Rattus norvegicus: one gene and its partners. The protein of the gene in region 2 interacts with the protein of the main gene of each other region in a pairwise test. Links are inferred from orthologs where the notes say so. Each region holds a gene or a part of one and is shown on either strand. Other genes may lie near its edges. The genes, in order: Sox30, Cfap206 and C5h1orf94.

Region 1 (3,650 bases), on a different chromosome or scaffold from region 2:
AGACTCTTTCCAATTTCTTTTAAATTTATTTAGGTAAAGATTAAGTTAGGTTGAGATCTCCTAATCTCTGTGTGAGAAAGAAAATAATGGTTAACATAATAGTGATTGAATTAATACTAAGCATACATTTTAAGTAGAATACAGTTGTGAAATATCTGATTTCATATTTACCAGCTACTGTAAGTCAGGAGATATTTGGTTTTACTGTAATAGATATAGGTATGTACAAGCATACACACACACACACACACACACACACACACACATACACATCTACATATAGGTATGTACAAGCAGACATATATAGCTAGTTTTACCATTTACTGTAAGTCTCCATGGTTCCATTCTGTAATATACTAGACATATTAAATAATCATGGCAACAACAAACACTTCCCACTTAAAAGATAACAAAAATGCAGGAATTAATATCTTATGGGTATCAGAACATAGTCCCGTGTTTTGATTAATAGATTTATTCCTAGCATGAGACAGTTTGGACCAACTGATTCTTCCTCAGCAGTGAGGACGTTGAGATAAAGGTTGGGAACTATGTATTCTTTGTGGCTTACAGAACTGTGCATAGTGGGAAAATCTTTTCTTAAATATAAGCAGAAATACTTTTAAGAGGCAAGATTATGAAGTATCACCTAGACAGAACCAGTGATCGTATACATGATAGTGCCACACTTCTGACTCTGGGAAGAAATTAAGGTGTTTATGGTTTTAGCAATTGCCAAGCCTCAGAGAGTGATTCCTTAAATCAGGCATAAACAGAGGGGATATATAATGTCTTATGGGGTATTTTTCTTCCACAGAGGAAAAACTTTGGGATTCAAACCCAATGACTGGTGTAGATTGTATCATGAAATCACTCTGTGTTCCTGTGTAGAAGGCATTTGACTTTCCTCTCTATTAAGGGTTACATTAACAGAGTTAGCAGCTATGTGGATGTTAAAATGCACAGTGCAGGATTTGTTCACAGAAATAGTATCATGGAGCTGGAAACTATACCTTTAGACAACCCATATTTTAAAACTTTTAAGTGAGCTGTGTTTTTATATGAAAAAGCCAGAGTTTGGATATTCATATTAAAAGTCTCTCTTTTTCTGTAGGATGGGTTTATCAGCCTCGTCCAGGGAAGCGAAAACGCTTCCCTCTAAGTGTTTCCAATGTATTTTCTGGTACCACACAGAATATTATCTCTACAAATCCTACAACAATTTATCCTTATCGCTCACCTACCTACTCTGTGGTAATTCCCGGCCTTCAGAACACCATCACTCATCCAGTTGGTGAGTTGGTCCTACTGTAGATAATTTGTAAATACCTACATCAAAATTTTATCTCTTAAGTGGAAATTTGGTTTCTTAAATTTATAATTTAGAACAATAGTAAAGAAATAAAATCAAGAAGGGATAAAATGAAACATTAAATGGGAGAAGGAGCAATAGCAGATCCATGTAGAAAACTCTGACTCTCTAAGAAATTTAGGGTGAGAGCCAAGATTAGTCAGATAGTGAAGAAATTGCTGGTGTAATTACATAGAAAGTAGGGATGGTGTAACCTCCAGCATAGAAGAACACTTTGCTAGAGGGGGTTGAGACATTCTCTCAGTGATATTAGTAAGGCCACTGCTCCAGAAAAGCGATGAAAGCTGTACATTTTCTATACATTTCTTGTTTGGTTCATGTTCCTTACAGTCTGGTCTTAAACTGAGATTCTCAAATCTTGGCTACCTGTTTCATTATTGGCTTGTTCCTCCGAAACGTTTACAACCGTCTCTTAGGGAGAGTGCTGTCCATTCACTATTACTGCTGCCTGTCTTAAAGTTGCTCTTGCCAGTTTCTGCCTGTTTTAGTCTCCTAATGATAAAGCTGGCCCTATGAGTTAGAGAGGGATAGAGCATGAAAATGGACTTAGTAATATTTTGCATTCTCAGTACTTTTTTATTAAAGATTTTATTATATATATGTTTGTTTTCCTATATGTTCCTATATGAGTCTCTCATCCTGCCTCCCTCACCACCACCCTCCTTCTCTTTCTCTCTCTGTCTCTGCCTCTCTCTGTCTTTCTCTCTGTGTCTGTCTGTCTGTCTGTCTGTCTGTCTGTCTCTCTCTCTCTCTCTCTCTCTCTCTCTCTCTCTCTCTCTCTCTCTCTCTCTCTGTGTGTGTATAGTGTGTGTAGTGATCAGAAAGTGTTAGATCCCCTGGAACTAGAGTCGTATTTCAACACTGAGACCTGAACCTGGGTCCTCAGCAAGAGCAAGTACTCTTAACTTCTGGGCTCTTTCTCCAGCTCCCATTTTCAGTGTCTTTTAAACTGTGTCATTTAGCCAATGGAATAAACAAAGCTGCACTCAAGATACTAGTGTACGCTGTAGAAAGTTGATCTGTAGCCTCCATTTTGCAATACAGTCAGGCACTTTTAGTGTTGACTGTAAGACTGTGCTTCAAACTGGGCTTTACCATCTCTTTGTTTTGGTTTTAGATATTATTTTTTACTTTAGTACGTGCTTCTTTTTGTCCCTTCCTCCCCGCACCCCAGACTTTCCTGGCATCTGTTTTGCCCATTTTCAAATGCTCATGTTTCTCATGAACAGATTTATCAATGTTCTTATTTTAAGCAGTTGAGATTTTATACAATATATCACTTTTACACCATCTGTGCAAAGATATGGGCTGGAAGAAGACTAAAGATTTCCCCCTGATATTGGTAGGGTTTATGCATCATGATTTTATTACTTAAATATGGTAGACAGAATTACAGGAAACATCTCAGAAACATACAACAGTAAACAAAAATGTGATAATGAGACTTTGTTGGCTACTCTAAAAAATTGTTTACAATGATATTTCTTGTGAGGGCCAGAAATGGTAAAGATTCATTTCTTGGATCCCAAATGATAAGCCAAAACATTTTATAAATATAATTTGAGAATTGTTTTTAGATAAGTATAATCCATAGTGAAGAGATTTACTTGCTACTAACATACTGTACAGTTACCCAACTTTGAAATATGCTTAGGTATTTCCATCAGTTCCATATCATATTATTTAGAGGTGATAGTGTAACTAGGAAGTTTAGAAATTTCACATTCTAGAGTAACCGTAAAATTATTAAAGCTAGTTAATAGATGATACCACAAGTATTAAAGAACCATAGTTATTGGCTAGCTATAGTGGTACATACCTTTAGGGAGGTAGAGGCAGGCATCTCTCTATGAGTTCAAGGCTAGCCTGGTCTACAAAGCAAGCTCCCGGATAGCCAGGGCTACACAGAGCAACTCTGTCTTAAAAAAAAAAACAAAGAAATGGTGGCTAGAGAGATGTCTCAGTGGTTAAGAGCACTGACTGCTCTTCCAGAGGTCCTGAGCTCAATTCCCAAAAAACCACATGGTGGCTCACAACCATCTGTAATGAGATCTGATGCCCTCTTCTGTGTGTCTGAAGAAAGCTACAGTGTACTTATATAGGATAAATCTTTAAAAAACAAAGAAACAAACAGAAAAACCTATAGTAAACCTAAAATCTACTATAAACTATAATTTGCAGATAATGATTTTAAAATACCTTCTTTGTTTCTTTCAACTAGTTTTATGTTCTAAGCATAAAATCATGGTAATTTTGTTCTTTAAACATATATTTTATT
Region 2 (4,246 bases):
AATGTCAACATTAATCAATTGATAGAACTAATTAATCAATGAAACCGTAGGCATCACAGGCTTTTGCTTGTGAATGACTTTTTAAAGAGGAGATATAGAGGCTCAGTCAGTAAATGGCTTGCCTCACGAAGCACAAAGACCTGAGTTTGATCCTAGAACTCACATTTTAGAAAAGCTGAGTTGTCTCATGTGTGCCCCCAACAAATACCTAAATATAACAAAAAAAAAAGTTCATTAGGCTCACCCAACACACATTGAAAAGTTTTAAAAATTATTGTTTTATTTTACATGAATGGGTGCTTTGCCTGGGTGTGTGTCTGTAGACTGTCAACAAGGCCAGGAGAGGGAGTTGGCTCTCCAGAAGTGGAGTTACAGACACCTGTAAGCCTCCATGTCCGTGCTGGGAATCAACCCAGTGCTCCGGAAATCCAGTCAGTTCCCTTAACCTCTGAGCCATATCTCTAACCATGCAACAAACATTTTTAGGTATCAAAACACCTTCGTTGATCCAGCACATGACCAGTATTTGGAAGGCTGAGGCAGGTAGAACTCTGTGAATTCATGGTCTACATGTCCAGTTCCAGATCATACAGGACTATACAGTAAGACCCTCTCTCAAGAAAACAAACAAAAGTTATAACCCCCAATTCCAAACGCACAGGTTTCCTTACTTGCATTTTATGTATGGTGGGGTACCATAACTGGTGTGAAAACACTTCCTTAATGAAAAGTTTTACTATGGTATTTGGAACACCAGGATATAGACTTCCTTTTTCGAAAGAATGCTTTTACAAAACAACAACAACAACAACAAAAAAAAAACCAAAACAAAACAAAAAACGAAACAAAAACAAACAAAAAAACTATGAACATTGATAACCCCTAGACTTTCTCATTCTTTTCAACTGATGTATTTTTCCATGTTTCCACGCTAGCAAATTACCAGGAACAGCGTATGCACATCCAACCTTTATTTTAGAACTCACGTTTCATTGTCTTAAAACTGAGGTGTAAGCGCCTGGGACTTGAGTTCTTTTGCTTTGTCTCTTCGGAGACTGAGGGAGAACCCTACGCCCCTCTTCTTTCTTTTTTTTTTTTTTTTTTTTGGAGCTGGGGACCGAACCCAGGGCCTTGTGCTTGCTAGGCAAGCGCTCTACTGCTGAACTAAATCCCCAACCCCGACGCCCCTCTTCTTAAGGTGCCACCCCAAAGGTTCCATCCCAGCGGCCCCGGCCCGGGCCCGCCCTCCGGCCCCACCCCCATAGCCAGGCCCCGCCCCCAGCTTTGGCGTCCTGTTCGGTCTCCACGGTTACGCATCTGCAGCTTGGGCTCTGAGCCTGGCTGGGAGAGCTGCGGCCGGCTGGGCTGGCGTTCGGGCCAAGCCCAGCGCCCAGGGAGCTCCTGGCCGTTAAACCGCAGGTGTACCAGCGAGAACACGGACGTCGGACGGCTGCAGAACTAGTGCTGGTAGTTGGTAACCAACAGGGTGGGCGGGCAGGCATCCCGCTCTGGGCAAGTGCACAGGTAGGGGTAGGCTCAACCTGGCTGTGTGACCTGCAGGTCTGACATCGCTGGTGGGCTGGTGACTGGCATTGCTTGGGTACTTGCGCCAAGCCGCTCACTTTTCAGTAGACTCCTAAGTTCAGGAAAAGGTGATAACTCATCTTTTTCAGATGAGCAAACTGGCTTCCAAGGAAGCGAGGTACTTGTTCTTCTCGAAGATGTGGTTGGACCTTTGATGTTTTTCTTAAGAGTCCGTATCCCAAGGATGGACTAATCCGGGAAAACTTTTTTTCTTACAGTTATTAAATTGTATTACAGTTGTGAAAGATCCGCTAATAAATGTACTGATAAGCACTTTCTTTTACAAGCTGTATTCTTGTTGCCTCCACATGGGCTTGCTTTTTCGTTTCTTTTTCTTTTTCACCAAAATTCTGCTAAGCATTTATTTATTTATTTATTTATTTATTTATTTATTTATTTACATTTTGGTTTTGAGACTGGGTCTCACTACATAGCCCTGACTCAGGCTACCTAGTCAGACCAGGCACTAGACTCATAGATATCTGTCTGCATCTGCCTCCTGAGTGATGAATTTAACACATGAGCCACCATCCCTAGCTACTTTTTTTTTTTAATGTCACAATATATATTTCTGATGGCGGAGTGATTTAAACTCGGGGGAAATCCCAGTTACTTTATGTCACTAAAGTCATTTAAAATGAAAAAAAAAGAGGAGGAAAGTAGATTATAATTAAATAGTGATAACTCTGTAGACACTGTGGATATTTCAGATCTAATAATGGAATCAAACCAGGAAAAGTGCATAAATGAAATTACTAAACGAAAATTATTGCTTTACTCAGCCACAATGCCTCCCACACAAGCAGAGAGTGTCATAAAGAATATCATACGAGAAATAGGACAAGAATGTGCAGCCCATGGAGAGATCACTTCTGAAACGGTGGTTGCTTTTATGGTAAGATTGATCACTTTTGTAAGTCCTGTTGTAAACAAATTTTAAACTGTGAAAGTGAGGGTTTTTCCCTTTAAAGTTCTCAGGAGCTTTCCTGGTGCTTTTTAGTCGAAAACACTAAGATCATCAGATGACTCGGTGAAAGGCATCTTTTCCAAGTCTGCAAAACGTCTTGTAGCTTTGCAGTGAGTGATTTAGGAGATCCTGTTAGCTTAGAAACCTCAATAATATTCTGCTGTGAAGTTTTAACGTGTACTTTTGTCCAAATGCATGTTATAAAAGTTACTCCTTGCTTTGGCTTCTGTGCCCTTAACCACACATACTGAGAACGAGAGATCCAGTTTCCAGCTCTAGGAACGGTAACCGTTCCTTTCAGCCTTTTTACTATGTGTTGCCCATATTTGATGTTTATTGTTTTCTGTCTCCACCCCATAATGAAAGCACTAAAGAGGGAGCGATAAGAAAATTAGCTGAACACCAAGGAAATTGGTTAAAAAGCAGAAGTGAATTAATTTCACGATATGAGTAAAATCACTTCATATGCTGTGTTTGTAGGTGAAAGCTGTCGTCCTAGATCCCAGCAATGGCTTTAACATGGATAGGACCCTCGTCAAGACTGACGTGCAGAAACTTGTTAAGGTGATTGACTGACAGTCCTCGGGTTTGGGATTCTCTGTTTAAAATCTTAAATGGAACACTGTGTTTTCCACCCCGTCTTCAGCAATTTTATAAAGAAATGCAGATGGCAGTGTAAACAAGTGAGGAGTTATTTTCTAATAAAACAGTGTCTGGAGGTACTTAGGTTGTTCCTGGCCTCCTGGGCTCCCACCCTTGCCTTTCCTCAACGTCATGCCCCCTGATGGATGACGAAGAAAGACAAAGGAACTAATGGTCTGCTTCAGTCAGATCCTCTCAGAAAGTGACAACTGTCACTGTCAATCAGGGGGTCAGGACCCGCCGTGTCCCCACCTTGGCCTCTCTCTTTTGTAGTTCTCACTGGCCTAAAACTTGTGTGGGTCCTCCTGCCTCTGTTTTGTGAGTGTTGAGAGCGGGGTTTGCAGGAGAATACTGTATTCTGCCCATTTTCTTTCCTTTTTGAAAATAACTTAGATGCTTAGATACCTCAGTTGCTTGCCTGGCATGCGTAAAAAAATAGCCTTGCGTTAGATACCCAGGCATTTGCTGTATAGAGTCAGGTGTGGTAATCTGAGCAGTGGGAAGGTGGGGACAGGAGGACCATAAGCTCAAGATCATCCTCTGTTACATAGTGAAGATATAGCCTGGGCTACATGAGCCTAGCCTGGGCTACATAAGACCTCAAAATTCAAAACTCAAACAAACCAACCAACCATTTGAATGTTTCAGAAAAATACAGCAGAAGCATTCATGCAAACGTTCTCTTCCAGCTTTGCGTGGCACGGCTATTGGACAACAAAAATCCATCCTTGGACACCATTAAAATGCAGGTCTACTTCGACATGAATTACACCAGTCGAGGTAACATAGACACCGACCTTCATACATTTTAAGTTTTCAATATTGCAGTTTAGGTAAGAAAGGTTAAATCTGGCTGATAACAGGCTTACTTGTTTAACCACATTAATTTTTGTCTGTCTTTTGATCTTTTATGTCTTTGATCTGTTAGGCAGCCTTCTGTTATCATTCACAGAATGCCCGAGATAATCAGTTTACACAGAGAACAAGTCTATTCTGGTCCAGTTTTAGAGTTTCAGCCCACACTCTGTCAGTCTGTTACTTTTGGGCCCGCGG
Region 3 (3,650 bases), about 91 Mb from region 2:
GACAAAAGTCATAGCCTGGGTGCCTCTAATTCAGAGATCAGCAAGCTCCTGGCTCAGTTCCCACTGAAGTCAACTGAAATGTCCAAGGCCCCAGACAACAAGATGGTGCTGGAAGAGACCAAGGTCATTAAGGACTTCCTGCAGAATAGCATGTTCAATGGCTCCGGACCCCGGGAGTCCATGGGGCTGGGCCCATTCCTGCTGCTGCCACCCCCACCTCCTCCCGCAGTCCCCGACAAACTCCCCGAGTTCTCTCCTCCGAAGAGGCAGCTCCCAGTGTTTGCCAAGATCTGCTCCAAGACTGAGGCTGACCCAGCTCTTGAGGGCCACCACTGGATTGGTGAGTGGGGCTGAGAACAGGAAAGTGAGGGGGTTTTCAAGGAAGAGAGCCTTGATCAGGAAGCTGATCAAGGCCATGGTGTGTCTTTGTGCAAAGCAAAAACAATGCAGCCTCTCTGGTTGTGTGTGTATGTGTGTGCGCCTAAGTGGTATATGGATGTTCATGTGTGGATAGATACACACACGTATATGTCTAGAGGCCAGAAGTAATGTCAGGTGACTTCCTCTGCACCTCTCCATATTCTTCACACACACACACACACACACACACACACACACATTTCTGTCTTCAGACATATCAGAAGAGGAAGTCAAATCCCATTACAGATAGTTGAGCCACCATGTGGTTGCTGGGAATTGAACTCAGGACCTCTGGAAGAGCAGTCAGTGCTCTTAACCACTGAGCCATTTCTCCAGCCCCCCTCCGTCTTATTTCTTAAGATAGGTAGGGTCTTATACTCACCAAACATGAAGCCCACCAATTCAGCCAGAGTGGCTGGCTCGGCAACTCCAGGGATGCTGACTCTGTCCCCAGCACTAGGATTACACACATGTGTTTCCGCACCCAGCTTTGTATACAGATGTGGGAAATCCAAACTCAGGTTCTCAGGCTGGTGTGAGAAGCATTTCACTAAGTCAGCCATCTTTCCACACCCTGCAAGACACATAATTTCTGATTTCATTAGGTACCCAGAGCATACTGGAGGATTTATTTACCTTATCAGGAAAGAGCCCAGCCTTGAGTCTAGGCTTGGAGAGAAAATTGATTGGCATATGGGGGTCACTTACCTTTTTATGGAGACACCCATCCTGGTCATCAGGACTGCTCCACCCTCCGTAGGGCATAAGTTCAAACTGTTGGTCCTGGGATTTGTTCTCTGAAGCTCTAGAACCTTAGAGAAGCATATTTTTAGCTCTTGAATAGGAACTCTGGTCATCCCAAGGAACTCATCCCCCTCTGGTGCTCCCTGCCCATCTCTGGGACTCCACATTGTGCATGTTCAGACTGGATTGCAGAGCCATCTGCCCACAGTCGCCAGTCTCTAGAAGAATAGATTATACTTGCGCCAACCAAGAGAAAGGTCACCCCCAGGCTGTAGTGTGATGCTTAACTGACAGTGCCTGTCTAGGGAGGGCTCACAGCCCTGAGAAACAGGAACAAGGTCACCTTCCCAAGTATTCTATATTCTGGAGCAGTGGAGGGACCCCGGGAAATCAGAGCTGAGGTGACAAGCTGGACATAGTACTCAGCAAACCTGGAGGAGTCACAAGGCTTTGGGATGATGGCAAAGGATGGAGGAGGCTTGAGCCCTCCCCGAGAGGGAGAGAAACACTTGCCCTCTCCTTCCAGAGGGGAACCTTCATGTTCCTCGATGAAGGGACTGCAGAACAGAGGTATCTTCTCCACTTGCCCTCCCCACACTCAGAGAGTGCCTTGTGTACAAACCCGCGGGCTAGGTGTGCCAGAGAAATCTTTGTTCAGGGTGAGCATACTCATTAGAGAAAGCACAGGGTGTAGAGCTGAGGGTGCCTGTGTGTGTGTGTGTGTGTGTGTGTGTGTGTGTGTGTGTGTGTGTGTGTGTGTTGGTAAGTGTGCTTGTCCTGAGTATGTCTGTATAGTTATGAGGCAAAGGGAAGACAGACAAATGAGGAGAGAGAGAGGTGGGGATGGGAGAGGGGGAAGAGAGGGGAGAGGGGGAGGAGAGAGAGGGGGAGAAAGAGAGAAAGGGGAGAGAGAGGGGAGAGGGGGGAGAGAGGAGAGAGGGGAGAGAGGGGAAATAGAGGGGAGAGAGGGGAGAGAGGGGGGAGAAAGAGAGAAAGGAGAGAGAGAAAGGGGAGAGAGAGGGGAGAGAGGGGAGAGAGGGGGAGAAAGAGAGAAAGGGGAGAGAGAGAGGGGAGAGAGGGGAGAGAGGGGAGAGAGAGAGGAGAGAGGGGAGAGAGGGGGGAGAGAAAGAGGGGAGAGAAGAGAGGGGGGAGAGAAAGAGGAGAGAAAGGGGAGGGGGGGACAGGGAGGCCGAGAGGCCAAGAGGCTGAGAGAGAGGCAGAGGCAGAGGTAGACAGAAAGACAGAGGGAGAGGGAAAGGGACAGAGAGTTCCCAGATGCCAGAGGGGTCTTGCAGATGTTGTAGCTGTGTGAGTGGCTGCAAATATGCTGGTCTCTGGGGAAAATGACTATTATTAGTGGCTATATTACTTCAGCGCTCTAGCTGGGGGCTAAACTCAGCAACCAGAGGAACTGCTGGAAGAGACTCTGGGGACATGCTCTGCTAAAAATGTCCCTGGCTGGAGCAGTGCTTCCCCTTTTTTGGGGGGGGGCAGGGAAGGTAGGGCCCAGGCCCATGCAGAGGCCCCGAGGGCTTGCTGGGTTGGGCTGGGCTATAGAGGAATTCATGATATGGTGGAATCACGTCCATTACCATCGGTAACGCTGAAGCACAGGCCCTCCCGATCTGACTGTTACTAGAGTTCCCAGGTGCTTCCACTGTGTCCAGAGCAGCTCATAGCCATCCACCTGCAGGCAGACTTCTCAGCCAAGCTCTGTCGAGGTGTTCAGAGACAGCCAGTCTGAGGAAGGAGTGAGGGGGTAGAGAGGCCAAAGTCCACTTTCTGCTTCTAACAGATAAATGCCTTAATAGTAATTATGTAACACTTGCGAGTACATGTATATAACATACAATTTATGTGTACACACATTTATCAAGCTGTCTCTATTTCTTGGTTCCAGGAACCCCTCAAATACCCATTCAAAGATGCTCAAGAGCCTTATACACAGTAGCACACAGCTCCCTCCCTCCCTCCTACACTCTGTACATAATCTATGGATCACCACTGGTGCCTAATCCAATGTAAATGCTGTGTAAACAGTGGTTACACCATTGGTTAGGGAACAATGACAAGTAACTCCGTATGCGTTCAGTGAGGGCACAATTCTGCCTTGAGTGTTTCGCATCCATTGTCCCACACACGGAGACACTCCAGTTTTGAAGAAAGGCTGCAACACTGAAGGGAAATATCTCTGCTGACATGTCAGGTGTATTTGCAATAAGACCTGAGTCTGGCACCCACTGAGTCCTTCCGTTGGGTGACTCCAGTCACTTAGGATGAGTCACCTTGTTCCTTTGATGCTCCTGCCATTTGTTTGTGATTGTCCAGGCCAGTGACATCTTTCTGATAGCCCCCAATGAGAGTCTTGCTAAGCCTTCCTTCCTTCTAGGTTAAAGGACCCACTCAGACAGACAAGATCCCAGTCAGTATCTCCTTCCATTTTGCCTCTTTGTCACCTCACAGTGACCATCTGCCTTGTCCTGGAG

Evidence for each region.
Region 1: the proteins of Cfap206 (region 2) and Sox30 interact in binary tests that used the Homo sapiens proteins (3 or more experiments, as listed by UniProt). The two-hybrid records come from large-scale screens. The link is inferred for Rattus norvegicus from reciprocal best matches to the Homo sapiens genes CFAP206 and SOX30.
Region 3: the proteins of Cfap206 (region 2) and C5h1orf94 interact in binary tests that used the Homo sapiens proteins (3 or more experiments, as listed by UniProt). The two-hybrid records come from large-scale screens. The link is inferred for Rattus norvegicus from reciprocal best matches to the Homo sapiens genes CFAP206 and C1orf94.

What each region holds. Positions count from the first base shown.
Region 1 is NC_086028.1:30,922,749-30,926,398, forward strand, and holds part of Sox30 (SRY-box transcription factor 30), read left to right. Parts: intron 1-1,114; coding exon 1,115-1,294; intron 1,295-3,650. UniProt on the Homo sapiens protein: Acts both as a transcriptional activator and a repressor. Binds to the DNA sequence 5'-ACAAT-3' and shows a preference for guanine residues surrounding this core motif. Binds to its own promoter and activates its own transcription.
Region 2 is NC_086023.1:54,092,483-54,096,728, reverse strand, and holds the start of Cfap206 (cilia- and flagella-associated protein 206), read left to right. Parts: upstream 1-1,345; 5' UTR 1,346-1,467; exon of another isoform or gene 1,468-1,524; intron 1,525-2,366; 5' UTR 2,367-2,371; coding exon 2,372-2,479; intron 2,480-3,031; coding exon 3,032-3,115; intron 3,116-3,882; coding exon 3,883-3,973; intron 3,974-4,246. UniProt on the Homo sapiens protein: Essential for sperm motility and is involved in the regulation of the beating frequency of motile cilia on the epithelial cells of the respiratory tract. Required for the establishment of radial spokes in sperm flagella.
Region 3 is NC_086023.1:145,586,183-145,589,832, reverse strand, and holds part of C5h1orf94 (uncharacterized protein C1orf94 homolog), read left to right. Parts: coding exon 1-340; intron 341-3,650.